4 linked regions of the Struthio camelus genome follow. The protein of the gene in region 4 purifies or fractionates together with the protein of the main gene of each other region. This does not show direct contact. Links are inferred from orthologs where the notes say so. Each region holds a gene or a part of one and is shown on either strand. Other genes may lie near its edges. The genes, in order: SEC13, NPRL2, SESN2 and MIOS.

Region 1 (7,664 bases), on a different chromosome or scaffold from region 4:
ACAACTTTTTTCTCGCTGTCTTCATCTAGCTTTATAGAATCTTTCTGCAGTTCCATCATCAGGTCATTGGTGGCCATAAATCTGAAACAACATACAGCAGCAGTGGATTGGCTGATATACATACACAAATGCATTTCCTAGAGATTGGTTGGAGACTGAAACTTGATGAATAGTGCATGTACGAAAAAACACTTCCAAGCAGTAACCTACAGCCCTTTCACAGTATGCTGAAAAATAAGGCAGAAATAATCATTACTATCCTACAAGTGGAAAACTCAGAGGTAACGGCTGAAAAGGACTTAGCTAAGGAAGCTATGAAAATGAGAAATACACATTATTTCCCATTCTCTCCTCCGCTAAAAATACTTGGTAGGGATGGGGTAAACCAAGACTCTAGAATTGTCACTGTGGGATCTCGCCTGTATATTTTGTTTCGGTAACTCCAAATTGAAACGGTTAAGGATGCTAGAAAAATATTTATTTTTCTCCCCAACTGGCCAATTCTTATGAAAACGAGCCTGGGGTCTAAGAACACAACTAGCTCTGTTCTTTCTGGCTTATGTGTATCATTGACAGAATCTTTGTTACTAGCAATCAAATGCAGTAGTCGATTAGACCACTACAACAGGGAGCAGCAAGCAGTTCTGAAACTTGACTACCAATTCCAAGGGTAACGTACACACCAAAACACAGTTTAGCCTACCCTTTTCTGGAAATGATGTTTATATCACTAAAACAAATAAATGCTCAGAACAGCTAAGACAGAGTTGATCTTTCCATGCAGGAGAAGGATGGGATCATGAGATCTGGGCTTCCTCTCCAGTTCCATTTTCTAGAATTGTATGAGTCCAAACATGGAGATGGCCTATCAAGCTAAGAAAATAAGAAAACAAAGTAAACTACGCTTTAAAATTTACCTTGGCTATATTTAGATTTCCATTATTCAGCCCAGTCATAGTTTGTTTATACCCTTCTGCTCCTTGGAGCCTTTCCTAACCTAAACAGTGGTGTCATCCACATACTCAACCTCTTTCCTTACTTAGTTCCCTTCCAGAGGCTTTTTTCTGTTCCACAGAAAAGGTACTAAACATCTTGCTGCACGGACGCACTGCTAATGAAGGACACAACGCTGTGAACGGCACGCAGGCTTTTTTATCACTTGGGTCCAAGACAAATAACAGATGCTGCATCTGCGCTGCAGCTTCTATCGCTGAAAAGACCACTACAAAAGTTATCTTCCTCCAGCATTATGTGCAGCCTTGACCATCTCATTTCCCCCTTTGGATTCTTTGGTGTCCTTTTACTAAGAAGCACTCACCTGCTCTTTATTCCCTATCCACTGTCCAATTAATTACATTCAGATATGATTAACAACATAAGGTAATATTTGGCAGCAAGGACCATTTCTGATTGCACTTTTTTCTCCCATGAGCAAAATCAAGCACTGCATTTATCATTCCAGCTTAGAAAGAAAAACATATCCCAGCTCATTCCTAGTCAATATTATTTTATAATAGGGACAATGTCAAAATCAATATTGAAAAGTTCTAGAAAGTATCTATTTTCCTGGGAGCAGGATCTGTACAAGGTGCTGGTATAGAAGTCTGCGAAAAATTAAGTAGGGTTAACATGTATTAGTTCTGTTCTAATGTTAGTCCAGGCACAGAGATGAACGTCTAAAAGGCAGCACAGAGAAGCTGCTCTATTTTATTTACCAGGTGACACCTCCATTTTAAATTAGGCTCTGATGTAATTCATTCAGCAGTTAAAAGCCCTAATGTGCCAGGGCAACATTTGTATCTTCAAAGTGCAAGCTTGTTCTTCAGTAGTAAGTAGGTACATGGGGAACTAGAGACTGCTGTGGTATTAGATAACCAGCCAGCCATCCAACATGAGAAAAACAGAGCAATTCTGACCTATAATTTTAAGAATATGCAGTCTATTTCTGATTCAGCAAGAGCTATTAAGCTGCACTTTCCGCTCATCATCCGCATAGAAAAAGCATGACCAATTATGGCCACGGACTGAGCAGAAGCTGCCACAGCAACGCATCCAGCTTTCGACTGGCTACCTGCTGCCATCCTGCCCACCGGTCCCTCAGAAACTGGTATACAGATCTATTTATGGGACACAAGCACATGAAACCCAGTCCTGTAACTGAAACACGCCTGGCCACGCAGCAGAAGATAACATGCCCACGCTTAATCGTGTGCTGGGGAGAAATGTCTGTGGAATATCCCTATAAAGTGACAAATGCCCTGTGCTGGGCACATCTTGCGCGGAATATTAACTGCAAATTTCCTGAACAAACTGTTAGTGCAACTACTCCATCATCGACTTCCTTTAAAAGTATCCATTTAGCATGAGAAAAACAGCAGCAGCCTGGGCAGAAGTCACCCTACTTTTCGGGTATCAAGTCTGGCACAACTGTTACCTTCCAGGCTGACATGGAGAACAGCAGAGGCTCGTGGGCAAAATCTTTCATATTTGTTAGTTTGAACTTTTTTTTTTTTTTTAATAGAACACCTTTAATATTAAGCCACTTACCCCAACCCTAAAAAGATGTCTCTTTTTTTCTACTGACATAAACAAAAAGCAATAAAAGCATCTTAGTCCTGTTAGGGAGGCACGGCAACGGCAGTCTTTTCCCGTTGCACAGAAATAGTTCCTAAAGCAGTCTGAATACAGTCAACATCTGCAGCGTCCATCCTCTGGGTGACACAGCCTTCCAGAGCACTGTTTCTAATACACTGAACATCTAACTTCTAGGGGAAAAACAAATGAAGAACTATTTCAGCATTTTTGCTATGATGTTCTTCATTTGCAAACAAATAAGCTTTTAAAGCCTAATCTAGTTATTACTACTTTTGTTCCCCTCTCCACTTTGCTTGCTTATTTGCATTATGCTGCGATACACACAAGGGAGGGGAAAATCATTGGTGTCTCTGCTTTCCTCCCCTCAATCCTGAAAAAAATGCTCGGTTTAAAATATTGCAAAGAAAACAGATGAACGCCTTTGAGAAAAATAATACCATCCATGCCTGCAGTTAAGATTTTAGCTGCCAGCAGGGTTGGGGGGGCACTGTGCCCGCTCCTGATGCGGAGGGTCCCCTCGAGTGCAAAGGACTCCTCCATCGCAGAAGGTACTTCCCAGTGCAGGGGTCCTTCAGGTCAGGGTGCACCCCATGCAACGGGACCCCCGGCGCAACGGGGACCCCCTCAGTGCAGGGTTTTCCCCAATGCAAAGGGTTCCCCCCAACAGAGAGGGTCCCCCAGTACAGACAGCATGCCCCAATGCAGGTGCTCCCCCCCCCCGGAGTAGGGCATATCCCAGCGCAGAGGGGTCTCCAACATGCAGCAGACCCCCCAACACAGGGGGGACCCCGAACACAGGTCCTGACACCCCCAGCGCAGCCAGGACCCTCCAATACAGGTCCTGACCCCCCCAGGGCAGAGGAGACCCCCCAGGGCAGGGGGGACGCCCCCAGGGCAGGTCCTGACCCCCTAGGGTAGGGGAGATCCTCTAATACAGGTCCCGACCCCCCCCCCAGGGCAGGTCCTGACCCCCCAGGGTAGGGGAGATCCTCTAATACAGGTCCCGACCCCCCCCAGGGCAGGTCCTGACCCCCTAGGGTAGGGGAGATCCTCTAATACAGGTCCCGACCCCCCCCAGGGCAGGTCTCGACCCCCCAGGGCAGGTCCTGACCCCCCCCAGGGCAGCTCTCGACCCCCCCCTCAGGGCAGGTCCTGACCCCCCCCCCCAGGGCAGGTCTCGACCCCCCCCCCCAGGGCAGGTCCTGACCCCCCCCAGGGCAGGTCTCGACACCCCCCCCCAGGGCAGGTCCTGACCCCCCCCCCCAGGGCAGGTCTCGACCCCCCCCAGGGCAGGTCCTGACCCCCACAGTGCAGGCCCCGACCCCCCCCAGGGCAGGTCCCGACCCCCCCCAGGGCAGGTCCTGACCCCCCCCAGGGCAGGTCTCGACCCCCCCCCAGGGCAGGTCCGGACCCCCACAGTGCAGGCCCCGACCCCCTCCATACAAGCCGGTCCTGACCTCCCCCCAGAGCAGGGAAGACCCCCCCCCCAAATGCCGGTCCTGACCCCCCGGCGCAGAGGGGGCACCTGAAGTCCTTGTCGGTGGAGGTCATCTTCTCCAGGAGGTTGGAGATGTGGTAGGAGACGCTGCTCATGGCGGCGGTGGAGGTGGCGGCGGCGAGGGGGGTGTCGCGTAAAGATGGCGGCGGCGGCGGCGGCGGCGGCCGGGGGTCTGCCGCGGCCGCGCCGGGGGCGGGGCCCGAGCCGGGGCGGGGCGGAGTCAGGGGCGGGGCGGAGTCAGGGGCGGGGCGGAGTTAGAGCCGGGGGCGGGGCCAGAGCCGGGGGCGGGGCCAGAGCCGGGGGCGGGGCCCACGCGCGGCGGGGGCAGAGCTGGGGCTCGGCCGTGGTGCCCTCAGCGCTTCTCCTCCCGCAGCGCGGTTTCTCCTCAGACTAAACCCTGGCGCCCGCGCTGAAGCCCGCTGGCGCAACGGGCAAGGCCACGGGCGGGTTGGCTTTGCCGGTGGGAAGCGCTCCCGTCGTTAAGCGCTCGAGTCTGCCTCCAAAAGAGTGGAAATACCCGGAACCTTGGCGCGCGGGGCCGGCGGGCGGCCGGAACCTTGGCGCGGGGCCGGCGGGCGGCGCGCGCGGCCGGGCGCGTTTCGGCGACGGACCGCCGTGCCACGTCCCAGGGCGCGGGCGGCGGGCGGGGGCCGGTCGCCGCCGAGGGAGCCGCCGTCATGGTAGGGCCGGGGCCGCAGCGGGAGGGGTAGGGGGGACTCGCCCGGCCCCGGCCCCGGCCCCGGCCCCGGCCCCGGCCCCGGCCCCGGCCCCGGCGAGGAGCGGGGCCCGCGGCCCGCCGGGCGCTGCGTAGCTGGGCAGCCGCGGGCCCGCCCGGCCGGCCGCCGGCCCGTGCTGTCCCGCCAGGCCCTCGGAGCCCAGGGGACTCCGCTCGCCTGTCATGCGGGTTAGGGGGCCCGTAACTTGTGACCTTTTCCTTTTCCCCCTGCTTTTGTCGAAGTGTATCTTTTCAGTTGCTCAGGTTGGATGCGGAGTGTATTTGTTCATGTCTCCCCTCCTCCTCCCTGCAGGTCTCAGTAATTAACACGGTGGACACCTCCCACGAGGACATGATAGTAAGTGTCTGTGCGGGCGCGTTGTTGTTTAACACGGCCGCGGTGGGGGCGGGGGGAACTAAACGCGGTTCAGCTCTGTTAACTGTACTGTCTTATGAGATTAACTTTACGGCACTTGCTTAGGTGGAATGAAGAATATAATGCATATGCTCTGTAGATAAAGATGTGTGTTGGGGGGGGGGGGGTTATTAGATGGAGAAAGCATACCACTACTAGAAAATCCAGTAGTGCCATTTCATCCCATGTAGACCGCAAAATGGAGCTACCTAGGGAAGGAGAAATAATTCTAAACTTTAACTTTGATATCTAGACTTGCTTCTGTGAAACCAAATATATGCATATGCTAAATGGTACAGAACTGGATAAGTTAGATTCATTTTTTTTATGTGGATGTTTCTGGGAACAGAGGTGTAAGCACAGATACAAAGACAGATTTCAAAGTGATTTGAAGGAACAATGCGTTAGTAGAGTTAAATAACGCAATTTCAAACATAAATAAGATAGAGCAGTATTTTTATTCAAATTTTACCTATTCAGAAACAAAAATATTTAACTTTGTCGAGGCTTTACAATCGGTGACACTGATTTCCTGCCCTCTCCTGAAAATACTGTATATTGCTACTCTGAATTCCCTAGATTACTTCTGCACTAACTTTTGCACTGTGAAACCAGTAATGGGGAGAGGGATGATTTATGTGGATTGTCTAGATTGCTTTAAAACTGTACTCTTTATCCCGCCATCCTGGGAGTCGGTCATTGCTTGCAATTCTTAGAGCTACTTTTAAAATGTAATAATTGTTAACAAATCAAAATTTACGCAGCAGTTTTTCCGTTACCTTATAGCATGATGCTCAGATGGATTATTACGGCACTCGGTTAGCAACCTGTTCTTCAGACAGATCTGTGAAAATCTTTGATGTTCGGAACGGAGGGCAAATCCTCATAGCAGACCTAAGAGGGTAAAGTGCGTTAATCAGAAGAATTTATTCTGTGGAAAATTGTAATAGTTCATCATTTTGCCTTTTGATAATGTAAGAAGCATAGTAAATTCCTCTAAGATAGTATTTGCTACGGTGAGTTGTTGCTAAACAACTCTTCAGAGCTGCGAGAGGGAACAGAGACCCAGTTAGAAATAACAGTGTGGCTTTTTAATTCATTGAATGCTGGCCGCCTATAACTTCCTGGAAGTATGCTCTTATTTGTTAATATGTAGATAAATATTTGTTTTCACATTGTTTCTTGCAGGCATGAAGGTCCAGTGTGGCAAGTTGCCTGGGCTCATCCTATGTATGGAAATATCCTAGCTTCCTGTTCCTATGACAGGAAGGTTATTATTTGGAAAGAAGAAAATGGCACTTGGGAAAAGACGTATGAGTACACAGGGCATGATTCCTCAGGTATGTGGTATTTGGAGCTGGGAAGTGAAACTGGGGATAAAAGGGGATTCAGATAAGATTGGAATAAATCCTTCGGTGTTAAGGGAAAAAAAGTGTTTATCAAACAGAAAAGGATTGAATTAATGGAGACACAGGAAGTCTAGTCAACATAAGGATGACGTTTATGTAAAGGCATACTGCTTGAAAACCAGCTGTTTTAATTCATGTAATGTTTGCATTGCAGTTGTTCTACAAATAAATCAGCTTTCAAATAAATAGGTAGTATTCAGAATTCTTGATCCAATATTGCATGTGTCCACTCTAGGAAGAAAGAAAAATTGGATTTTTAGCGTGCTATGTTTTGTTTTACAACGGAAGCTGCTTTGTTCAGATGACTGGTCCTCCTACAGCCAAATCTGAGAAGTCTCCCAAGTTTTGAGTACGCTAAAGCCCTAAGATGATGATAGTGGCCTCCTGAGAAAGGAAAGACAGTAGCTAGTTTTGCTGTTCAGCATTATTCTCAAAGGGATCAATGAAACTGCTCTTGATCAATGCTCCGAAGACTAAGCCTGCATGGAAAATGAGAGGAGGGCTACTTGTTTGATACACAGCTTTGTTTTGTTACTTATGTAGACCTATAATTACTATTCCTGTCACTTGGCTTTCGTTCTAGAGTCAGTGACGCTCTGTGCTGTTGTAGGGTATAGTCAGGGTTTTTTACTCTCATTAAAAGCATTCTTTCAGTGTTCCCTTTCTAAAAAGGTGCCAAAAACACTGGCAGATTTCCATCATTCAGGGAACCGAATTAACCGACTGGCTTTGAAATTTAAGAACGCTAAGACTCACGTTCTTAGTTTTCAAAGTTGTTCACTTCTAGTGACTATTCACTAATATTAGTCAGTTTGTCAGTTTTAGCTAGTCACTGTGTTGTAATCTAGTCTTTCTCATTTTTCACAGTGAATTCTGTCTGCTGGGCACCACATGACTATGGACTGATACTGGCCTGCGGGAGCTCTGATGGGGCCATTTCGTTATTGAGCTACACGGGTGATGGGCAGTGGGAAGTCAAAAAGATCAGCAATGCACATACTGTAAGTGTTCTCTTGGAGCAATACGGACTTC
Region 2 (7,581 bases), on a different chromosome or scaffold from region 4:
GAGGGTCCGGGCGCTGCTCGATCACCTTCAGGTGAATGGTGTTCGATTCATCTGGCCAGAGAAAAAGCAGCGCTCAGTTCACACAGGAACCTCTGCTCCCGCAGGCGCTCGCTACCATCAGCCCCAGAACGCCATGGCTGTGAGCACCGGGAACCAAGGCGCTGCCAGCACCAGGCAAGGCTCACCTCCCCCAACCCTCTCCACAAGGCTCCAGCCAGCAGAAAGCAAAGCCCTCGTTACTGCCGCGGCTGCCCTGCAGACCTACTGCTGCGACAGTACCTATGGGCAGGGTGCACTTTCCTTTGGCGTTCAGCTCCTCCAGCAGGATGGTCATTATCGGGACCAGCTTCTGTTTACTCTCTTCATTGGAGATGAAGCCACTTTCCAGCTAAAGAAAGCAGAAAGTTGTGTCAGCTCCTCCCGGTGCGATTACCAGCTATAGGAACCGCACACGTCTCTCACATCCCTTCCTCTGCTCGTTTTCCCGGCCAATCTTAGAGAATCTTTCCTCAAACAGTGAGGCTAGTAAAATGAAGGGGCACTGTAGCGACAGCAGAGGTCCCACGGCATCAACAGAGCAAGGTTCTGCCAGGAATCAAAGCTGTCTTCAGAGCAGGGAGCGCGCAGGAGGCCTGAGAGCAGTTTGCTCGCTTCAGATTTTCCTTGGTCTTTCTATAGTTAAATATTCCTAAACTTCCTCTGAGCTTTCATCAGACCTCTCTCTGCATGGCTTTTTTTTTTTTTTTATTACTCTTAAACTTAAGAGTAAGAGCACAGCTAAGATCAGCACAACCCCCTCCTCAATCGTAAGCCTGGCCCATACCCCAGCAACGCCCAGTGACGTGCAATTTGCACCAGGATGTTGATGATGCTGCAGGGCAGATCCTGAGCAGCAGCCAGAGACAGACAGACAGCCGCACAGAGGCAGGGCACCGTGGGCAGCTCACCAGAAGCATGTTTTTCTGAGAGACAATGTTTCCAGCTCTCATCAAATACCCACCAGCAGGCATAACGATCTTCCTTGCTGATCAAGCAAAGGAGAGCACGGTCAAACACGTCCCACGCCAGGCTGCCTGCCCTCATGCCCCTGAGGGCTGGCGGGGAAAGAACTCTGTCCTAGCCCTGAGGCCAGCGAAAGAGGGAAGCCCTTGGCCAGGTCCCCCTCCAACCTGGAGCAGCGGGTTTGCCTCATGCCTTACCTCCAGGGTGGTGAGGTAGCCAGCCAGCTTCTTCACTATGGGCTCCAGCGCACAGGCCTTGGCTCTGGCGTCGCACACGAAGCCCAGGTTGAAGAGCAGAGCGTTTCGGCTGTACTTCTTGTGCTCGATACAAACAGGACAGCCGATCAGCTTCTTCTCCATGGCAGTCCTGTTGGACAGACAGGCATAACCTGCATCTACCTCTTCACGGAGGCTGGAGATGTGACCTCATGAAAGGCCAGTTCCCGGTTTGCTTTGGAAACAGAGCTCCTCTTGGTTCCGCCGGCAAATTGATGCCTCTTCCCCAAATGCTCAGCCTGTCCAGAGTCTAAAACAGACTTTCCAAGGAAATGCAAGGCAAAGAGTCAATCATTAGAGGGAAAACCTGCATCCTTCCCGAAACCAGTGTGCCTCTCAACACTAATTTGAATTTCCTGGATTTGAGGCTTACAGAGAAGCACAGGCAGTGCAAGCCACCCCCAAAATCAGATACTCAAACCCTCTGCACAAGTAACACTGGGCCTTATAATTAACGTATTAACCCCTGGGACAGAAACCCCTGTGAACCCAGAGCCAGAGCTGGCAGCTGGAAGACTCCATGTTGTCACATAACCAGGCTGCCATCTCTGCTGAGCCACCAGGGAAGACCTGCCCAGTTCTGGTGGGGACAGCAAACCCCACTGGGACCGGACACGCGCCTTGACAACACTCACACAGTGATGAGCTTGTTCTGCAGCTCGGGCTTTGTGATGACGTACACCTGGATAGTATCGAAGAGCTCCCGAGATATGAAGTCCTCTGGGACCTGCAGCACCAGAGAAAGCCCAGTTCTCCCCCTGCAGCACACCGTCGGGACAAAGGGACTCGCGGGCGACGCACCACGCGCGGGTGGGCGAGCGGGTCCCTGGCAGCAGGGCACAAGGGCTGCGCTGGGGGCTGCTCACCGCCCAGGACGGGGAGCGACTGGACTGCTCGTGGGCCCGACGGCACGCACAGGGCGGCACGGCCCCAGGGCGCTGCCACGGCCCCGGGCCCGTCCCGGTCGGTGACGCCGGGTCCCGGGCCCACTCCAGTGCCCACCCCGGGGCAGTGATGCCGGGTTCCCTGGCCCATCCCGGTGCACACCCAGTTGGTGATGTTGGGCCCATCCCGGTGCCCCCCGGGTCGGTGACGCCGGGTCCCGGGCCCATCCCGGTGCCCCCCCCCCCGGGGCGGTGACGCCGGGTCCCGGGCCCATCCCGGTGCCCCCCCCCCCGGGGCGGTGACGCCGGGTCCCGGGCCCATCCCGGTGCCCCCCCCCGGGGCGGTGATGCCGGGTCCCGGGCCCATCCCGGTGCCCCCCCCCGGGGCGGTGACGCCGGGTCCCGGGCCCATCCCGGTGCCCCCCCCCCGGGGCGGTGACGCCGGGTCCCGGGCCCATCCCGGTGCCCCCCCCCCCCGGGGCGGTGACGCCGGGTCCCGGGCCCATCCCGGTGCCCCCCCCCCCCCCCCGGGGCGGTGACGCCGGGTCCCGGGCCCATCCCGGTGCCCCCCCAGCCCCGGTCGGTGACGCCGGGCCCATCACGCCCCCCTAGTGCCCCCAGGGGGTCCGGCCCCACCTGGTAGGTGATTTTGGGCCCCAGCGTGGGGTGGAACTCGCTGAAGAAGACGCACTCGATCCTGCCGCCCATGGCGGCGGCGGCGCGGAGCGGCGCGAGGCGGAGCGGCCCCCGCCGGCTCCCGTAGCGCTTCCGCGTGCGCACGGAGCGCCTCTGCCGGCCTGACACGGGATGACGGAGCGCCGCTGCGTCACGCGGCCGGAGGCGAGCCTTGGCCCTGAGTGACAGCGCCGCCCGCCACTCGGCGGGAAGCGCGGGCGGGCTCCGGCGCTGACGGACAGCCGCCTCGGCCAACGAGGAGGCGCCGCCGCGCCCCCTCCCCCGGCGGGGCGGCGGTGCCGGCTGCCGTCCGCCATGGCGCTGCCGGGGGAGGTCGAGTCCCGCCTGTACCGGGCGCTGCGGGCCGCCTCGGGCGCCGCTGCCCACGCCGCGGCGCTCGGCTTCCCCGCCGCCGTGGCGCTGCCGGCGCGGCCGGGCTCCAGTGAGTGCGGGGGGCGGCGGGGGCCGGGCCGGGCCGGGCCGCCCCGCACCGGGCCGGGCCTCACCGCTCTCCCTTCCCTTCCAGGCCTCTTCTCCTGGCACCCGCTGCTCATGGCGCTCGCGGTAAGTCCCGCCGCCCCGGGGCCGCCCCCAGCGCCGAGCTGGGGCCGCTGGCGGAGCGCGGGGGGTCGCCGCCGCCTCCTGCGGGGGGGGGGGCGGCAGCAGGTCGAGCCCCCCCGGGTCCGCCCGCGGCGCGGAGGGGGCCGGGGGGAAGCGGCCGGTGCCGACTCTCCTGCCCTCTGCCCCCCCCCAGTTCTCCTTCCTGCTGACAGAAGCCCTGCTGGTTTTCTCGCCGGAGAGCTCCCCGCTCCGCTCCTTCTCCCGCAAAGTCAAAGTGCGGGTGCACTGGGCCCTGCAGCTGCTCGCCCTCCTCTGCGCCCTGCTGGGGCTGGGCATCATCAGCTACAACAAGCACCTGAACGGCAAGGCGCACTTCGTGACCTGGCACGGCCTGACGGGGCTGCTCACCGTGCTGTACACCTGCATGCAGTGCCTCGGAGGTGTGGTCCTTCTCTACCCCAAGCTGGTGAAGAACTGGACGCTGGCCAAGCTAAAGCTGTACCACGCGACCTCGGGGCTGGTCGGGTACCTCCTGGGCTGCACCAGCCTCATGCTAGGCATGTGTTCCTTGTGGTTTACCACCTCGGTGACCGGCGTCTCTTGGTACCTCTTGATGCTGTGTCCCATTCTCACCAGCCTGGTGATCATGAACCAGGTGAGCAACGCTTACCTGTACCGCAAACGGAGCCAGCACTGAGGGCCCGGTGGGGATCAGAGCTTGCCTTGTGCGATCCAGCAGGGCCAGGGCTCTGTGGGCTGCTGGACCTGGGAAGCCTCCCGTGGGGGGTCCCTTACTTGCAGTCGCAGTGGTCTCCTCAGAACTAGATTTCTACCTACTCGTCTGTCGTTAGTCCTAGAGTGTCTGTAGTGTCAACCTTGGTCTCAGGGAGCAGCTACGATGTGTGTAACGCACGTGACGGGCAGGAGCTGCCTGGCCTGCGCCCACCTTGGAGGGGAGCAGCTTGCCGGCACAGGTAACTCTGCTGGTCCCTGCAACGGCTTGCTGCTTGGCAGAGGACTGCTTGCCTGCTCCGATGCTGGGAACCAGAGGGTTAATGACAGCTGTCACTCAGGATTTCTCCCCTTCTCTTCTTCCCTTACGCACCAGGTTTGTTTTGGAGCAGGTGGGCAGGCTAGGAGCTGTTATGTTCCTCGGGGGAGTCCCTGCTCACCTCAGCTGAGGGCTGGCGCCTCCTGGCTGCCCGCTTGCCGCGAGGGGCGGCCGGGCTGAGCCCTGGCAGATGGCAGCCCTGCAGGCAGAGGGGGCGATGGCCGCACCGGGCACGTGCCCCGTTGCCTCTCCTGCAACAGGGGCACCGTCCCTGGCAAAAACCCTGGGGCAGGGCTGTGGCTTCAGCCAGCTCTGCCGGGGGGCAGGAGGGCCAAAGCGGGACTGTAGCGTCCATGGCGAGCTGCGCGGGGGCACAGCCCCAAGCAGGGACCCCCGGGGGCTCCACGGGGTTGGGGGCACCTGAGCCCAGCCCAGCGGGACCAGCAAATGCAGGAGCTGGTCGTGTTCAGCCCTACTTGACAGCCCCAAACCCAGGCACCTATCGCCACGCACAAATCCCCGCTGCCTGCTGGGGTGCCGAGCAGCGTAACGGGGAAGCCTAGGCCTGGCAGCAGCAGCGGTTGTTTTACACAGCAGGTTATCGAGCTGAGCTGCAAACCAGCAGTCTGCTGAGGCCTGTTTTGTCCCCGTGTCTGATACTTCCTCTGGACCTAGCAGCCCCGCTCTGTTACAGCTGAGCCAAAGAGCAGCTCTGAGGGGTGGAAGGAAAATAAGTGCAGGAGGGAGCACTTTGCCTTTGCCTCCTGCTGGCACACGCGTGGCAGGGAGCTCTCCCCAGCAGACAGCAGGGGCCGGAGGTGCCTTGGGTCCCTGCAAGGGGAGAGCGTGCCCTGCCAGCCCCCTCCGGTGGCGGTGCTGCCCCTGTGCCTTGGCAGAGCTCCCCTCGCAGCAGGAGGGGACCGTGTGCCCCTCCAGCCTAGCCCTGTGAGCGGGCCAGCCCTGGCGGGCTCCTCAGGATGCTGATCATGGTGCTTGGCGCTCAGCTGGAGGACAAACCATCGAGCTGGCCTGCAAAACGACCGCTTGGAAGGCAGAAAATAACCTCATCCTGCCTCGTCTCGCCTGCTGGGCGCCGGCAGGCCAGTGTAAGGGGGCCCTCCTCCAGCACAGCAACCTCCTCCCCGGACCAGACACGTCCTGGACAGCCAGGGCACCGCAAGGCTTGATCTGCTGGTTGAATCAAGTGCCGTTTCCCCAGCCCAGCGCGCTGTGTTGGAAGGGCCCCGGGGCTCCCGCCTCAATGCGAATCGTGTGCTCTCTGCAGGGCCGGAGAGCTGAGAACAGCTCCCCAGCTGGGAAATTCCTCTGTATCCAGAGCTTTTATTTAATAAAGAGTTCAGGCAGCTACAGCATAGCAGATCTGCTTACTGCCCTGGGGGGACTGGAGGGAGGCTTTCAGCAGGCGAGCAGGCACTCTTTCCCCCTCTGAAGCAACAGGTTTCCTACCTCTGTGTGTGGGATGCGTTTAACAAAGCAGCAAAGATGCTGTTCCCACGAGTGTTTGCTCTGGTGCAGGGCTGAGCTGGCACCAGCTCTCAGACTCCCAAACAGGGAAAGTGGCAAGGGGAAGGGGACTCAGGATTTGAGCAACATCGGTTGCCCCCAAACTGAAGGGACCACGCGAGACCGCCTGGCCAGGGCAGCTCCTTGTCCCGTCTGGCTTTCCAGGCACATGGGTCAGGGTCAGCAAAGCCTACGTCTGTGTCCTCCAGTGAACGCATCTATTTGTATGCTCCCACCTCCTCCCTTCCAACCAGCCTGCTTTTAAAACCCAAGAGCCAAGCCAACAGTACAGCCTCCCCTTCCTGGGGGCCTGCCCTCGGGCTGCGAGGGAAACCTCTCCCAGAGGCAGGAGCCCAAGCTCAGCTCTCCTCCTCCAGGCCCTCCCTGGTACCAACCTGGCCCCGAACACAAACCCCAGCGGGCTGCTCAGGCCCCGCAGGCTCTGCACCCCGGCTCCGGCCCACGCTCCGACCCAGGAGCCGTGCCAGCAGCAGCGGGAGGCTGACTCAGGGACTAGCCAAGCAGCTCTCTTTGAAAGAACTGTTTATTGATACTGAAATTTCTGTGTTTTTACTGGTTGACAAAACCTTCTTGTGTGGTCCTTTAAAAAAATAATCATGACACTGTCAACCCACGTCCCAGACTGGGAACTGCCCAGGGAAATCAGGAGCTGGAAGTGGCACAGCCGGCTGGGGCTGGCTCTTCAGGGAAGCTTTTTCAGGGAGCATCCCCTCCATCAAAAAAAAAAAAAAAAAGTCCATCAACACAGAGGAAGGAAAACAGAAGGGGGAGCCCATATTCTACCCGCAGGAAATAAAACCTGGTGCCAGAGGAGGCAGCGAGCGCCCCACTGTAAAAACTAATTCCAGCTTCTAGTATAATCTGGCAAACGGATTAGTCGAGCAGCAGCTGAGGGCACTGGCTCCTTCCAGAGGGGCTGGCTTCCAGGGAAATGAATCACTGCAACACAAGAGGAAGGAGAAAAGTCCAACACCACAAAATGAAGCCCCTCTCACCTCTAGGAAAAGTCGGGGATTGATTCCCGTTCCATGCACTAACTGCAAAGCTGAGAGTAGACGGCCCCGGCCCCGAGCGGGAGCTCACGCCAGGCCACTGCAGCAGCAGCAGCAGGTGCTGAGCAACTACTTTCCTTCTGAACAGGCTTCTCAATCTCTGGCCTGGCAAACCTCTAACTCAGGACTGATCATGTCAAGCTCCTGCCAGAGCGCAGGGGAGGGTCAATACAGGAAAAGGATTCGGAACAGAAACCCGCAAGCCTTCCTATTCCTCAGATAAGGAACAAAAGTTACTTCAGAAAGGAGAAAAAGAAGTTTTGGGCACTCTGGACAACCACTATTACAAAAAAAGAAGCAAGAAAGTGCGCTCTCACTTGCTGATTTTGCTCCTGTGGGCGCCGTGAGGTTACTTTGTGGTCAAGCGCAGAGGCCTCAGAAAAGGGAGCCTATCTGTTGAGCGTGGGACAAATCTGAGGCTGGATCAGTCCAATGTCTCCCTCCCGGAAAGAAAGCCCCCGCTGCCAGCAGAGACACCCCCCCTGGGTGGCTGCCACGGCGCACAGGACGCCCGCCCTGCGCAGGCGGGAGGCGCG
Region 3 (7,590 bases), on a different chromosome or scaffold from region 4:
AGGGACAGGACGGAGTCCCGGGTCTCGGTCCCCCAAAGCGCCCCGACCCCCCCCCCCCCGACGGGGCGGGCAGGCACCCTCTTACCTCGCCGCCGCGCAGGGCCCCGCAGCCCCGGTACTCCACCAGCCCCGGGGGGCCGCACTGTGAGCCCGCCACCAGCATGGCAGCGCCGGGCCGGGCCGGGGGGTCTAGAACCGCCCGCGAGATCTAGAACCGCCCCGGGGCTCTAGAACGCTCCTCGGTTCTAGAGCAGCGCGGCCCGACACCCGCGGCTCCTTCATAGCGCGACCGCAGGGGGGCCGGGGGGGTGTTAACCCATCTGGCCCCGCCCCGAGCGCCGCTCGGCCAATGGGGTCTCTGGGGGCGGGGCCTCGGCGGGGCCGGCCGCCAATAGCGAGGGGCGGCGCGGGGGCTGCCGGGGGTTGTAGTCCGCGGGGTGGTGGGGGCGCGCGGCCCCCCGGCGCGTGCCGAGGGCGGAGCGCGCCGCGCGTCCCGCCTTTCCGCTTGCACCGGTTTGCCCCAGTCCGGCCGTGCGGGGCGGCCAGGGCCGCTCTGCCCAGGGCCCAACGGCGTCCCCCGCCCCGAGAAAGGGGGGAGCTGGCACCCCCGGCCCTGACCCGCGCCCCGGCTTTGCACCCAGCGGTTCCACCCTCAGCTGCGGTGCAAAACAGCAGCCTCCCCCCGAAAAGAGCAGCCGTGCCCTCCCGCCCGCTCCCCGCTCCAGCGCCGGCTCCCCTCCCTTGCAATAGCGAACGCCGATCGCAATAAAAGAAGGGGAGAGGAGGGAAGAAAAGGAAAACAAAAACAGGAAAAAAGAGGCCCCGGACAGCAGCGCTGATAACAATCTGGCGCTGCCTGACAGCCCGCACGCGGCAAAGTCCAGCGCACGCAAGTCGCTGCACAAACAACTCGGGTTTCGCCTGGCAACAGCCTCCTCCGGCTGCCGTGCCGAGCGGCCGCCAATTAGGCGAACGCGTCCTTGCGCCTCGGCGCAGCGGTGCTGGGCAGCTCGGCGCCGGGAGCTTCGCGCGCCTCTGACCGCCTTCCCCCTTCCCGGCGCCTGCAGGCCTGCATGCACCTAGGGCTATTTTTAGTGGGGTTTCACGAGCGCGGCTTGGCGCGGGTTTGGGGCTCCCAGCGGCGCCCGGACGTTCGCGTTTGTGTTATTTGAGAGGAACGGGAGCTTTTTAGCTCCCTTTTTTTAATTGCATCAGATTTGAAGGGGAGACGGGTGAAGCAAGGACCAGGCTGCCCGGGGCCCCCACGCTCCCCGCGGCACCGGTGCAGCGCCGAGCCCGGATCCCTGCACCCGGCTTTGGGGAAGGTGCATGCAACCCAACCACCGGTTTTAAGACAACTCGGCCAAAACCTAGCGCTCGGGAGCGGATCAGGCAGCCTGTACCTCCTCCGTCACAGCGCGGCTCGCGGCGAAAGCGCCAGAGCTCGCCCAGCCCGCGGCGCCCGGACGAGGGCAGTCGCTCCTGCCGGAGACGCCGTTTCGGTCCACGTCTCCCAGGTAGAAATGGCTACAAAAAGAGGGGAACCTGCTCTGCAAACCCCGCAGGAGCTGCGGCGTTGCGTGGGGTAAAGAGAGCTCGAGGATGCTCAGGATGCTCCAGGGCGGAGCCCCGAGATGGAGCAACCCTCTGCTCCCAAAATATTTATCATCAGCCTGGGGGGAACGGTCAGATCCGGATTCACGCCCGGTGCGGGGTGGGAGATCGGGGGCCGAAGCCTCCGCCGGCTGGCGCGCCCGGCTCGGCCCTGCGCCCGGAGCGACAGCTCGCCGAGCAGCCGAGCCTTCGAGACCGCGGCGGCGGCAACGAGCAGGGGGCCGAGCGCCCGGAGGCCCTCGGCTCCGTGGCAGCGGGGCAGGACGCAGCCCCCTTAGCGAGAACCCGCATCGTGGGACAGCGCGGCAGCGAGCCCGGCCGGACCCCCGTGGCAGGGATTTGCACCCGCTGCACCCCGCAGCGCAGCAAGGCCCAGGATGCGCGGCTGAGCAGCCCCCTCCGCCCCCCCGGGCAGTACCAAATATTTAAGATAAAAACATCCCCCCAGAAGACATCGAGGGCTACGCCAGGACCGAGCCGCCCCAGAGCCTGCTGCCCAGAGCCTCCGGAGGGGAAGGAAGGGCCGAGCGAGGTCGGGCGGCTGCAGGGACGAGCAGTGCGCTCGCTCGGCAATAAGGAGCGGCACGCGATCCCCCATCTGCTCCGCAGCCCTGGCTGAGCCGTCGCCGGCCGATTAGAGGCGCGCGGCCGGTTACCTGCAGCCTCAGCACTTTTCCTGGCCTGTTTGCAATGCTCCTTCCCACGTACCAGCCGGCTCGGGCTGTCAGCAGCTTCTCCCCTCTCTCGACAGCAGCCTGGCAAAAGGAGATGACCTGCTGCCACCTCTTAGCTGCAAGGGGCTTGTACCCTCCGCGCTCGGCGCTGGCCCTGGGGGTTTTCTCTCTCCCCCTTCCACCCGGTGGTGGTGGTGCTGCAAGAGATGCAAAGGGGCTCCTCTCCCACGGCTCCGCGTTGCCTGGGCCTCTTCGGTGATTTGCAGGTGATTTGCAACCCAACCACAGGGCTGCAGCCAACAGGAGCATCTCCAGCCGCCGCAACCTTCTTGCTCTGTCCGCCAGGAGGGGCAGAGCGAGGCCCGGAGCGCTGTCGAGCTGGGGCACGCTGGGGACGGCCGGCGGCTTCCCGCTGCACCCAGCTCCTTGCACGTGATCCCAGGAGCTGCTCAGAGCCCCCCCAACCCCGTCCAAACCACCGCCAGGTCCAGCCATGACTGCCTGTAGGATCAGGCCTGAAACAACTGCTGGAAAAATGTCAGAGGCTTCATTCCTCCGCCCAGCCCCTGGAAGTTGCTCTTGAAAAGCAGCCTGGCAACAGGAGCAGAGATCCCCATCGGACAGCACCTTGCCCAAGGCTTCTTGGGGCTTTGCCACGTAGGAGGAGGCAGCGCAGGCAAGGAGCTGCCTGCTGAAACGTGCAGAGATTCAGGGGCGGTCTCTGTGCTGGATGGGGTTGACCACTCCAAATCCCTTCTATCCACACCCCTGCACGTTTATTCTGCAGTGAATAAACAAAAGTGAAAAACAGCCCAAAGCAGTCCCTGAGCCTTTGCATTTAGTTAAATTTCCCTGCAAGAAAACCCTCTGCAGCTTTCTCTGGCATGGAGACAGCCGCGGCGAGAGGGTGCTGCCTTGTCTTTCCTAAACAGGCGCGCTCCAGATGTGCACGGCTCTGTCGGGAGCCCCCGTCCGCGCCACGAACCTGCTGCCCCAGCAGCCGGGCAGACTTTGCCCACGCCGTCTCACCGACTGGCCTCGACGCCGGGCGGGAGGGAACGCCTCCGCGCGCAGGACCGGCGTCCTGCCGGCCTCGGCCCTCCCGGGAGGTTTGGGTGGGGAGGGCACCGCGCGCCAGCCCCGGCACCAGGAGAGCTTCACGTCTGCCCTCGTGACTTGAGAGCCTCTCTAGGATGAACCAGTTTGGTGCCAAGCAGGGAACTGGCCCCCAGCCTAGCAGGGGGTAGAGCTACCGAAGCAAAACCGGTGGCACCAGGCAGTCCCAGAGCAAGCGGCAGCATCTCAGGTCCTGCTTGGCAGCCCTCTGCTCGGCCTTCTGTCCCACAAGCCCCACCAAAGAGCGCTTGAGGTCTCACCTTTTGCTTCTGCGGCAATTTGAATTCAGCAGCGCTCGTTCTTCAGGGAAATCCGACTGCATAAGGGTTTCTCTGCGCTGGCTACTTCACGAGGGTTTCCCCGCCACACAGCAGCACAGCTTGCGCAACGAGGATCGTTACAACATTCGTTGAGAGGAGGGCGACAAAGCAGAGGCAAACTTTTCTAGAGGCTTCGAGAGCCGAAGCCAAACGCCCTGTTTGCAGAAGCACCAAGCATGGGGAACACACAACGGCTCTGTAATTATTTAGGCACTGCGAGCGCCCTAGTTAGCTAGATGCTGACTGTACAATCTGTTGATTTAGTTCAACAGAGTGCTGTTAAGAAAGCTGAACGGGAAGGCAAGACAGATTGCTTAAGATAAGTCACCTTTTAGCAAATAGTGAGGTCATCCAGGGACAGCCGTTGCCTTGCTTGGCTTTCGCCGGCCTGGTGTTTCCAGCCAGGCAAAAAACCCCAAGGACAAAGGGAGGCAGCAGAGACCGCACGGGGACTCTCCTCTCTGCAGGGAGCCGGGGGGGAGGATCTGCAGTAGGTAAGTCACACACAGTTATTTAAGCATTTCCTTTTCCTATGCGCTTTGCTCCTATCAAACGAGCGGCAAGCTGGTTTGCCAGCACAGGCTGGTTACTCTGTGCCTCCCCCCGTTACAGCCTCCTGCCGGAAAAACTACAGGCATTCGGGCTTGGTGGGATGTGATAGGGAAGCCTAATCCGTTTGCAGGGTGGAGAAGAGGGAAATTCCTCCGCAGCAGGACATCAGAGCCTGACAGCGGTTGCATCATTTGAACCCGCAGAGGGTGAAGCTAACCCTGCAACGCGGTCGGAAGCGTCGCAGCGCCACCTGAAACCAAGGCGAACGGCAAATACCCAGCTCCACCTGCCCCCGGGTCTTCTCTCTGTTAAGGATCCTGCGCTGCAAATAGAGGGATAGAGCTTCAGGAGCGTAAACACATCAGAAACAGTGGCTTGTACTGGTCCAAGCTGTTTTGGAGCTTTAGCAACCTGCAGGAGAGAGCGTTTCCATGCGCCTCAGGAGGGAGCACTGAGTACTGTGTGGTCGTACACTGGTAAGGACTGGGGTAACAGCCCCAACGCCTTTGGACTCCCGGACCTTTCGAGATTCCCTTTGGAAGGAGGCAAAGGGTAGCCGAGCTTTCTTTGTGGGAAACCTCTCTTGTGGAAGAGGGAAAGCACCAACCCAAAGGAGCTGGTCTAATTTTCCATTCCAATTTTATCCTCCTAGCAGATAAGAGAGAGTAGTAGGTAATGCTGAATATTCCCACCCCTAAAGCCCCATTTGCTCTCTGCGGTGCTCTGCATCGCCCGCCTCCGAAGCACCCACTGCCCTCTCCGCTGACTTTGCAAGAAGCCTCGTCTCTCAGACAGCTTGTTTCGCTTCACCTTTCTGCCCCTTCTTTCCTCATCTCGAGAATGAGGCTTGCGCTCACCTCTCCTGGATCAGTTACAAAACATAAGTTGCTGAAGCTTTAAAGGATTTTAAGACCCTTAGGTGTTTGTTTTGTTTTTTTTTTTTTAAAGACAATGCAGCACAAACCTGTCGCCCTCCAGGGCATGCTATGTGAGCCAGCGCTCCCAGACAGCCCCAGCAATTAGGGAAAGGAATGGAAGGGAGCATGTTTCTCTGTAATTACCAGCTGGTTAAGGCAGTTTACTTCTGCTGCGGGTACACGCTGTTAGGCTGCAAAGCAGTTTATTCATTCGCCTATTAAAGTTCCAGATCCTTGCCAGGGGGCCTACAGCTTTGGAAAGGAGACATTTATTCAAGTAATTACTTAAAAAAAAAAAAAAAAAGTTGAATCCTCTTGGTTAGTAGAGGTCAAAAATTGCTTTGCAATACATTTTCATTGTGTCCTGAAAACCCAACCAACTCGAACTACCTAGGTTAACATTTCTGAAGTTGCAGCCTCTTGACGCTGGAAGACGGCGAGGGCTAGCTGAGTGTCAGCTCACCTAAACTAGTGGAATGGGGCCCAAAAACTGGAAGTCTAATTTTCAACCCTGATGTCATTACGAGGAGGCAGCTGAGATCAGTATATAAGATTCTTTTCAAGCGCATTCAGCTACCGTCAAAACCAGCAGAGGATATTTTCCGAAAGCTTTGAAATAGAGTAATCACAACCCAAAATAAAAAAAAAATCCCTTTTGCAAACATGCAGGCTGCTTTAGGACCACTGAATAAACCACAGAGAGAAGGAAGTGTGCACTAGCAGATAAAGGCAGGAGCCAATCAATTCTTACTCAAGGTCTGGCTGGGAATTGCAAAAATTGCCCACAACCCATTTGAAATTCTCCCTGCAGCTCTGTCAGGGCAGAGACAAAGTGGCCCCTCCGAGACACAATACCGAAGGTGGAGAGCAAGGGCTTGAGGAACTGAGGAAATTACACTCTGGTTCCAGCTCTACCCACTGACTTGTAGCCTAGCCTTCGGCAAAGCAGTTCTCTTATCTATCTTCCTACCTGCTGTAAATGAGGATAATTGGGCACTTTCAAGGATACAGCAAGGTTTGCGCTGCGATCAGCAGAGATTAAGCGCCATATAAATGCTAAGCACCACTGGCACAGTTACGTAGCGCTAACCAGAGAAAGCGCTGCCAAGCAGATTGTCTCTGCACGCGTTGCCTTCTTGCGCCAGGAGAGCATTTGACTTGGCAACTGTGGCAGGCTAAGAGCTTGCGATTTAGCCACCTTTGGCTAAAAACGGACCTAAGAGGAAAGTACCAGGAGCTACTAAAGGCCACAGGTGCAACGCTCACCTCAGGAAGCCCCTAAGCCACTGGGTGCTAGAAGCCAACAAACTATTGCTTTGTTCATGATCTGGTTTTGTACCCTCTTCCCCAGGATCCCCTCCGTGGCCTTTACCTGGCGAGAGAGGGTACTCATCTAGATTTATGGTCTGACCTAGCACAGCCGTTCGTAAATTCCTACAACAAGTTACCCTGAGTCAGCTGAGCCACAATAACTCAGCAAGGTGGCAATAACCTAAATGCTTCAAGCAGGACATCCCTCCCTCGACACGGCTTGTGGCTACTTCAGGGAGCCAGAGGTCCAACAAATCCAGGACGAAAACTCTGACCATTTACAGGTGGAAAACAACCACATCAGAAGTAGTAACTCAGAGCTCAAAAGAAAGGGGAAGAAAACTTACATCCTGTCCTTTCTCCTTCCCTGAAAGTAGCACTAATGGCTGCTAAAAAAATGAATGACTCACCTGGAAGAGGCTATGAAGAAAAATATACAACTGTTCCTTCCACTGGGGTTGTAAGGCTGTAGCCAGTGGACTTAGGACAGACTGCTACCCTCTGTGAGCTACTGTAATACAGTTCCTAAGGGGGGCAAGTTAGAGGAGGCAACAGCCATCTGAAATACACCATCTCTTTCCTTTCAAATATGTCTCAATGCACACAAATCAGTCTCTTTTCACAGGCATTAGAAGCCAAAGAGATCAGAAGAATAAGACTGATGAAAAAGATTCCCTAGAAACTATTTTTCTTCTCGGTGTTTAACTACAAATTTGGGCATTTGTCACAATTAATGCTTTCCCAAACAATGGCTGTTCTCCGCGTACAGCTCTAGATTTTGAAAAACATAAAAGAGAGAATATTTTGAGTTGGAAAAGCTGCTGAGGTGTTTCTTCAGAGCTACGGTTTGCAGTTCCTCGTTCTCCACTACAGGCAGTGCCCTGAGGACAGACAGGTTCAGGGACACAGCACATCTGCCCCGCCAGAGGAAAGCAAGGTGCATCAGAGAACTGGTCGCCTCACTAGGAAGCTGCAATGACAGATGAGAAGCAAAGCCACAACACGTTGACCTACAGCTCCCACAAGGGCCAAGGAGCACGTTCAGATGGAAGTATCAGGAGAGTTTTGGGCCACCAAATTTCTGCT
Region 4 (7,606 bases):
TTTTAATTTTTTTTTTAAATGAACCCACAAGTGCATCCTTGTGTAAATATGCTATAACATATTAAAGTTGGAACATTCTTACCCAAAGATGACTTCACAATTGATTTAATGCCAGCATAAACTAAGGGACCTTTGTTTCCTGTAAGTTTTTGATCCATATCTTCAGTATACTGCTTCATGAGTATTTTCATGTATAGGAAGCTTAATTTTTCCCCAAGCATTTGGAAAACATTTTTTTAAACTAAAAGATCATATGCTATTAACATACACAAAGTATTTACAGGATGTTGCATTATTTAAGACTTTCATGCTTTTCATATCATTGGTTTACATATAAAGGTATGTTACTTCTTCAGAATTAATACCATAAAATAATACAGTGAAATAAAGGATATAATGCAGCGTATACCAAAGCGATTTCAGCTGAGGATCCTCATTTCCAGCTAGGAGGTGATTTCTCCACACTTGTTCAGTGTCAAGACCATATCTTGATAGAGCTCTCAGCCGCATTTTGGTAGCTATGTCTTTTTCCAAGGAACTAGCCTTTCCTTCTTCTGTACATTCATATAAATGTCGCCCACAAGCCCACATTAAAGATGTTACTGGACTCCACGCAAGAGAAATCCTTTCAAAAACTGTGAAGTCGGACATAGTTCTATTGGGAGTCACTACCACCATTCGATTTTGACTTGTGGGATGCCAAGCAAATGAAGCAATGTAGTTTTCACAGGGTTGGACACTTCTTTCAATGATTGTCGGCTCAGTTTCATCTCCAATAGGTGTAGGTGTATGCTGCATGTCATACAATCTAATGATATTACTATCCCTTGTTAAAGTAGCTAACAGTCCAGTTCTTGTTGGACACCATGCTACTTTTGTTAGAGGTTTTGGTTGCTCTGTCAAGGTCAAAACAGGCTTTTCAAACTTCCTCAAATCCCATATGGCAACCTGACCTTCATAGAAAGAAGCTACACGATCATGGAAATATGGATCGACAGTCACTCCCTGAACAGCCTTGGTATTTACAAATATTTTTTGGCTTGTGTTCCTTAGATCAAAGATAGCAAGATTTCGGTGCATGCCAGCTAAAAGAAGCTTCTGATCCCGTGGAAGCCAACAAAGAGAGAGACAAGCATCGTTCTGTCCTAATTCATAAAGCGGCTTTGTTACTACCAGTCCTGCTTCTGGATCTCCTGCTGAAAGTCTCACCTTCTCTGTAGCAACTGCCGTCTCTGGGGCAAATTTGCTACTAATATCCCAGATCAATACTGAAAAGTCAGCCCGGTGTTTATCTAATCCAGCAGCAAGCCAATTACTGTCTAGTGGATTCCACGCTAGAGTATTACATTGTCGTGCATGTTTGGGAACAAACTCTTTGCCGATCAAATCTTTAGATTTTGAGTTGTGATCTTGACCAAGGCTAGTAAGTACCACTCGACCATTGGCCTGTCCAACAGCAAGAAGACATTCAGGATCGTACTTTGGATACCAAGCCACACATTTCATATACGGTGTATCTGAATTTATGGACAATAACGTAGCTGTAGTTTCTTCTGATAACCGCAGGGACCCTGCCTTCAGTTCTGAACTTACAGCAGATTCAATGTGGTAAAGACTTAATTCTGAATCACATACAACAAAACGGTCAACATGGTGTGGGGCCCAAAGAATATCAGGTTTGGAGCCACTCATATTTAGGGTAAGTTTAAACTCTTGTAGGAGGATTCAGGTGATATCCATTCACATAGAAACTGTTGAGAAAGTAATTTTTAGCAATGTTATCAAAAAAACCCTCAAACCCCTTCATAATCAGAGATCATTCTTAAACAAAGAAGAGTAAGGCTCTGAATTACTTTTAGTCTAAGGGCTAAACAAACCTTAAGCGCTCTACACGTTACATCACTTTCCCTACAGCATGCTTTGTTTTTGCTGGACTATACCTCCTGAGAAACCAACATAGCCATCTACAAAACTGACAACAGGGTTCAGTGTGTCTACAAAATCCATGCCAGTATTACATCATTATTATACCAGGAAGAAAGGATCAACTGAAACGTGATGTGGCATGATCCATGAGTGTGCTGCTGGTAAAGAGCCACACCCTAGAACATGTATAAGAAAATTTTTCTGCCTAATTTAAGTGCACTGACAGAAATTAGAGTCTGCCTGTTTTCTCTGAAGCCTAAAAAGGCTTACTCTCTTTGAACATTTGTAGAGGAATACAACTTTCCACTCCTCATCTTATTCTACTGTTCCTAATACTACTTTCTGCACCAACACTACCTTGATTTTGTTGATATGTCGTGGAGAGGCGTTCATAAACTCACGCTTATGCTAACTTGCATTTACATTTTCAGCAGGTGAACGTCCAGACTAATTACATGTGCCTACACACAAAAAAAAGGATCTCATCAATCCCATAACCTTTTAAACTTGGGAGAAATATTTAGCAGACGGGGAAAGTATAAGAAACAAAGCACTACTTCCTTTCCCCAGCCTCCTTTCGGGGTCTGCGGGTTACTCTCCCCGCCCTCGCTCTCCCGCGGCTCCCCAGCCGGACTCCCGAGGGCTCCAGGGCAGCGCAGGCACCCCCCTCCCGGAGCCCGGAGCCCGGCCCGGCCCCGCCTCCCCGGCGCAGCGGCCCACCGAGCGAGGACGCCGCCGGCGAGGCCCGCCGGGACACAGCGGTGGCGGCAACGGAGCGGAGCGCCACCCTCCGCCTCGCCCCGTCCCGCCTCGGGCGCGGCAGCTGCTCACCCACCGCGCGGGGCCTCCGAGAGCGCCGCCGCCGCCGCGCCACCGGCGGGGCTGGGACCGCGGCCCAGTCCGGCCCCACTGGCCCAGCGGCACGAGTGGGAGGCGCACAACGACTTCCGGTTGCGGGGGGCAACGGGGAAGAAAAGCTCGTGCCACTTCCGGGGCGGGCGGGCGAAGGGAACCTCCAGTTTCGGGCTGCGGCGCTGCTGTCTCCTTCCATTGGTCCAGCGGAAGCGCCGCCCCTCGCGTGCCGCGAGGCGGGCGGCGGCGGCGGCGCGGTGGGCGGTGCCGAGGCGGGAGGAGGCGGGGCCGTGCGCGGAGGCGTCGCGGGCGGTGTCTGCGGGGGGCGGGGCGCCTGCGGAAGCGGCGGTTGATGAGTTGTGTGAGGTGGTAGCGGGTCCGGGGGTTGCGCGTGCGGCCCTGAAATGGCGCGGAAACGGCAGGTTTGGGGCAGTTCGCGGTACCCCGGTACAGCGGTGGGTGACAGTGGCGTTGCTGAACGAAGCGGAGGCTCTGAGTTCCCTGCCCCTGAACAGACACCCTCAAAATGCCCAGAGACCGGCCTGTGCAGCGCCCGCAACTGACTTGGTTAAAACTGAAAAGCTTGGGGCGGGGGGGAGGGGTTGTTTTTTTCCAGTGAGGGCACCAGTGAAGACACAAAAATTCTTACGGCTGAGTGGGGGTTGCCCCATGAAGGCAGCATAGCTGGGAAGGAGACCATTTGACACCCACTTCTTTCTTTAATTCGTTGAAATACTCTTATTGCTCAGGGTAACGTTGTTCAATGTCTTTATCATAACTGGAAGGTGTGCGTTGAAAAGTAGGCCAGTGGCAGAGGTGGGAAAAGGGCAACAGTGGCAAGGATACCTAGATTTTACAAGTCAGTAGAATCAGTTAGCAAGTGTGAAACAACTACACGGTCTTATTTACTGAAAAATGCAACGGATGTGAACTGAGATGTCATATATAAAACCAACCAGGAAATTTTATTCAGTTTGTATCCTGCTGTTGCCTGTTTGCCTTGCAAATGGTTCTGCAGAGTCCTTCGAGCACAGAATGGGGATGTGACATAGGCTTCTGGCAACAGGCGTTCTCCCAGCTTCTGCCTTTTCCAGGTGCTTCTCAGTAATGGCAACGTAGCACATACAGACTTACTCACGTGCACATGCAGTAAATCCAGTACTTCTGCAGACATGAAAAGAAAGTTCTCCATGGTTGATAAATAGAGCTTATAAAAAATTCTGTCAAAACTTTTCCACGTGGGAAGGTTGGGGGGTTTTCTAAGTAAAATTTTATTTTGCTATGCTATAATTTTGCTTTCCGTGCAAGTAATTCTGTGACATATTAATGCAACTGAAAATTAAATATTTCTGCTCCAAAGGGTGACACAGTTGAGTTGTGTTTTATATTAGTCCTTGTCTGTAAAGCAGATGCACCACAACTCAAAACTTCTTTTCTGTCGCCAATATGGTAGAGGAGGTGCTGAATATGAGATGTCCAGGCCAGCTAGAGAATCTACTTGTGTGGTCAGAAGATGGAAGATGGCAAGTGACCTAAAATCCCTCTGAAGTACCCACAGTGATGTATCTTTGAAGTTGGAGTTCTTCAGAAAACCAAAACAAGCCCAAAAAGTTTGGACATTTTCTATGTGGAAAAATATTCTCCTGCCAGTACTGTCAGTTTATACTTATGAATACAGGGCTGATACTAGAGGGCTTGCAGATAAAGGCATTTTAAGAGCCAATAACTCTTGATGTCTTCTGGCAGAATATTAGATACACATTTTGAAGAAGAAACAGTTCCTGGAACAGATATCAAATATGTGGTATTATTCTCTACCACTGGAACTCTTTAAATCAACTAAAAGAAATGTTTTATTGTATTTACATATTTTATGGATATAGTGCTGGAATCAGTTGCTGAAATTTTGTCATGTAATACAGGAGGCCCTTTTGCCCTTTCAATGATGCAATCTGCTTCTCTTCTCTGTTTCTTTTTTTCAAACTTAAACAATATAATTATACTCCTTAGCGTACTGGGCACAGGTAGTGTGTAGGGTGCTCCAGAATAGAAAGTATATTCTTTATCTACTGTTGATGATGGTACTTTGAGCCGGCCATCCCTTGTCAAGTATTTTTCAGTGCATCAGCAGGAAAAAGAAGCATCTTATGGCCAAAAAAGACGTAAGTGCCGACAGTGGTTATTGATAAGCAGAGTTTGCATGTATAAATCTGGTAATTGAATTTAAGAAAGCACTGACAATACTTCATAGATTCTGTCCCTTTAATAAATGACTTTTTATTTCACCCATATATGTAAGTTCGGCTAAATGCCTAACCACTAGATTCAATTTTGATTAACAAAACGTGAATACAGTACCAAAAGGATTCATAGGCAAGGTAATCTTCATTATAAGAAGAGAAGCTATTCATTTTCATATTGGTCCTATAAAAACATATTCTCAGGTCACCTTGTCACTTGAAGTTTGGTCTACATTTTGCTGCTTAAATGCATTGAAAGGTAAGAAAATAAATAGTTTAGAGCATTTTTCACAAATGAAATTATCCGAGTACTGAACAAAAACAGCAGAATATATAAATGTATGTGTTGCTCTTATTAATTCTAGTTGTTATATTACTGTTTTGTTTGGTGTATTTTTCCTTTTTATCTTCTCAGAAAAATATTAATAGATTTTCAGCTGCTGAAAAAATACTCAGAACATGTTTAATAAATATGTTTATTATACTGATAATTTATTGTGTAATTCTAATGATGATATTTGAAATTAACTACTCTTAGGCTGTTGGCAGTTTTTGAAATTAGTATATTTGAGAATCTGTATTGAAGAAATTAGTTACCACATTGACTAGTATTTTTTATTTTCCAAACAATTCTATATACCCGGTTACTAAAAGCTCATAAGGTGTGAAGACTTAGAATTTCACATGTGAACCAGTGCCTCTAAAGAAAAAGAGAATGTACACTCAGCATTGTAAACCTGAAAGTAAATCCACATATAAAGTTCAGTTTAGAAATATGGATTGTAAATTCAGTTATTTGTTAGTAACAGTTTTTAAAAAAATATTTTCTGTTTCTGCTAGTAATACTACAGTAATAATGGAGGTATCATCTGCCTATCTTAGAACTGAAAGTTAGATAGTCTTCAGAAAATATAATGAGAAAAACCATGTGTATTCAGCCTGTATTTTCTCTCAAAGAGCTCAATAAATGAGCTACAGCTGAGATTTTACTTGTTGTTGTGATTTCTTGCATGTATTTAATAAGTTGTCACCATTTTGTTTATGTTATTCTTTTGAATCTGCTTCTAGATCCAAAATGTGCTCAATGGAATGCCCAGTTCTGCATATACAGTATGTGCATCTATATATTTGCTTGTTATTATCAAAGTGTGATAGATACTTGCTTTCTTTTAAAAGGAAGAGTAAGTCATCTGATTCTGGATCAGAATCACTATGTAGTTAAAACATTCAGCCTGTTGTTTTATGCTTTTGGCTGTCTTCACGTACCAAATGGTTTATGGACAAACCAGAAAGAGACTACAAAAGCCTAATGGTCTGATACAGAATGATAATTGTCCAGATTAAAACAATTTTATTTGTTTTTTTCAGTAGAATATAATGTGCATATTGCAGTGTGTTCCACTGTTTATTCCTGCATTTATGTAGTTTCAGATGAACATAGATGAAACTTAATCATTATTTTTCACATTGGGAAATTATGACAATGCTCATCATTTTTAGTAAATTAATTTGCTGGGCAACCTATTATGTAAATTTAAGGCTAAGAGAATTTAGGTCCTTGGTATGAGTGGTTTTAATCAAGCATGGATGACTTGTTGTGATAAATTTGTAATGATGTAATTTGGAGCAGAATTTCATCATTATTACTTTTTGCAGAATGAGGTAATTTAATGGGACAAAGGAGGAAGGGACAAAGCTAGAAATGGTCCAGTGAGTTATCTAAATTCTAAGGCACAAGTTTCTGCAATGTTCATTGATGTGTCTCTGCAACTTTTTATTCTATTACAGGTGATATGTATCTCTTGGATACAGTATATATCTTGGACAGTTCAGAAAGTGTAAATAATGGATTGTCTGAAGCACAGAAGAGAATTGTTTACAACTTACATGACAATATTTTTTTGATGAAACAAGTTAAATCTCAGAAGTATAATGTCAAACTGGCAAGTATGCTGTTGAGCAGCACAGTCAGCCTTGATCATCCCTTTACAGCTTGGAAAAATGTGTAGAATTTTAAAGACAAAATCAAGAGTATGAGTTTTATTGGCCATGGCATCTATTCCTATTAGGCAATTTCTAATGCTGCTCAGCTCTTTAAAACTGAAGGTTGTAACCAAAGTGTGAAAGTGGCTTTTTTAATGACTGATGGTGTGGATCCCCTAGACAGTCCAAATGTCCAGGGTATGGTTGCAGCAGCTAGAAGTTTTAGAACACTTTTTTTTTACCATGGGGTTTTCTAAGAAAAGGGACAATGCAGAAAAACTACATTTGATATCTTCTAATTTTCTTTTACCTGTTCTGTGCCTGGATGATCTTCATCTGACGGATGAGATGACAACAAAGTTAGTAAGTAACTAGCAAGGCTACACTTTCTCCTTTTCTAACAGTGACAATTAAAATGTACTTTGGTAGGTAACAAAGCAGGAGTTTGCAGGCTCGTAAATGAGTGGGAGAGGAGATGTTTCCAGTTCAAGGGTCAGGACAAGCAAGCTACACTTGATACACAGTAATTCTCACACTGGGTCAGTTCTACATTTCTTATTCCTTCAGTCCGTGGTAGTTTGTATTGCTAACAGAAACATACAGCG

Evidence for each region.
Region 1: the proteins of MIOS (region 4) and SEC13 purify together in Homo sapiens (affinity purification with mass spectrometry; 5 studies listed by BioGRID and IntAct, counting the BioPlex papers as one, with this or other methods). This does not show direct contact. The link is inferred for Struthio camelus from reciprocal best matches to the Homo sapiens genes MIOS and SEC13.
Region 2: the proteins of MIOS (region 4) and NPRL2 purify together in Homo sapiens (affinity purification with western blotting; 3 studies listed by BioGRID and IntAct, with this or other methods). This does not show direct contact. The link is inferred for Struthio camelus from reciprocal best matches to the Homo sapiens genes MIOS and NPRL2.
Region 3: the proteins of MIOS (region 4) and SESN2 purify together in Homo sapiens (affinity purification with western blotting; 5 studies listed by BioGRID and IntAct, with this or other methods). This does not show direct contact. The link is inferred for Struthio camelus from reciprocal best matches to the Homo sapiens genes MIOS and SESN2.

Annotation. Positions count from the first base shown.
Region 1 is NC_090955.1:845,074-852,737, forward strand, and holds the start of SEC13 (protein SEC13 homolog), read left to right. Parts: upstream 1-4,663; 5' UTR 4,664-4,770; coding exon 4,771-4,773; intron 4,774-5,121; coding exon 5,122-5,166; intron 5,167-6,009; coding exon 6,010-6,125; intron 6,126-6,411; coding exon 6,412-6,563; intron 6,564-7,499; coding exon 7,500-7,633; intron 7,634-7,664. Other genes in the region: cullin-associated NEDD8-dissociated protein 1-like, read right to left, coding at 1-81, 4,121-4,188. UniProt on the Homo sapiens protein: Functions as a component of the nuclear pore complex (NPC) and the COPII coat. At the endoplasmic reticulum, SEC13 is involved in the biogenesis of COPII-coated vesicles.
Region 2 is NC_090955.1:23,925,584-23,933,164, forward strand, and holds the start of NPRL2 (GATOR1 complex protein NPRL2), read right to left. Parts: upstream 3,015-7,581; 5' UTR 2,870-3,014; coding exon 2,798-2,869; intron 2,005-2,797; coding exon 1,913-2,004; intron 1,538-1,912; exon of another isoform or gene 1,369-1,537; coding exon 1,200-1,368; intron 389-1,199; coding exon 280-388; intron 52-279; coding exon 1-51. Other genes in the region: transmembrane reductase CYB561D2, read left to right, coding at 3,152-3,278, 3,363-3,400, 3,591-4,094. UniProt on the Homo sapiens protein: Catalytic component of the GATOR1 complex, a multiprotein complex that functions as an inhibitor of the amino acid-sensing branch of the mTORC1 pathway.
Region 3 is NC_090964.1:6,449,031-6,456,620, forward strand, and holds the start of SESN2 (sestrin-2), read right to left. Parts: upstream 3,006-7,590; 5' UTR 2,784-3,005; coding exon 2,271-2,783; intron 352-2,270; exon of another isoform or gene 164-351; coding exon of another isoform or gene 86-163; intron 1-85. UniProt on the Homo sapiens protein: Functions as an intracellular leucine sensor that negatively regulates the mTORC1 signaling pathway through the GATOR complex. In absence of leucine, binds the GATOR subcomplex GATOR2 and prevents mTORC1 signaling.
Region 4 is NC_090943.1:29,895,483-29,903,088, reverse strand, and holds the start of MIOS (GATOR2 complex protein MIOS), read right to left. Parts: upstream 3,012-7,606; 5' UTR 2,758-3,011; exon of another isoform or gene 2,647-2,757; intron 2,388-2,646; exon of another isoform or gene 2,284-2,387; intron 1,752-2,283; 5' UTR 1,693-1,751; coding exon 396-1,692; intron 182-395; coding exon 83-181; intron 1-82. UniProt on the Homo sapiens protein: As a component of the GATOR2 complex, functions as an activator of the amino acid-sensing branch of the mTORC1 signaling pathway. The GATOR2 complex indirectly activates mTORC1 through the inhibition of the GATOR1 subcomplex.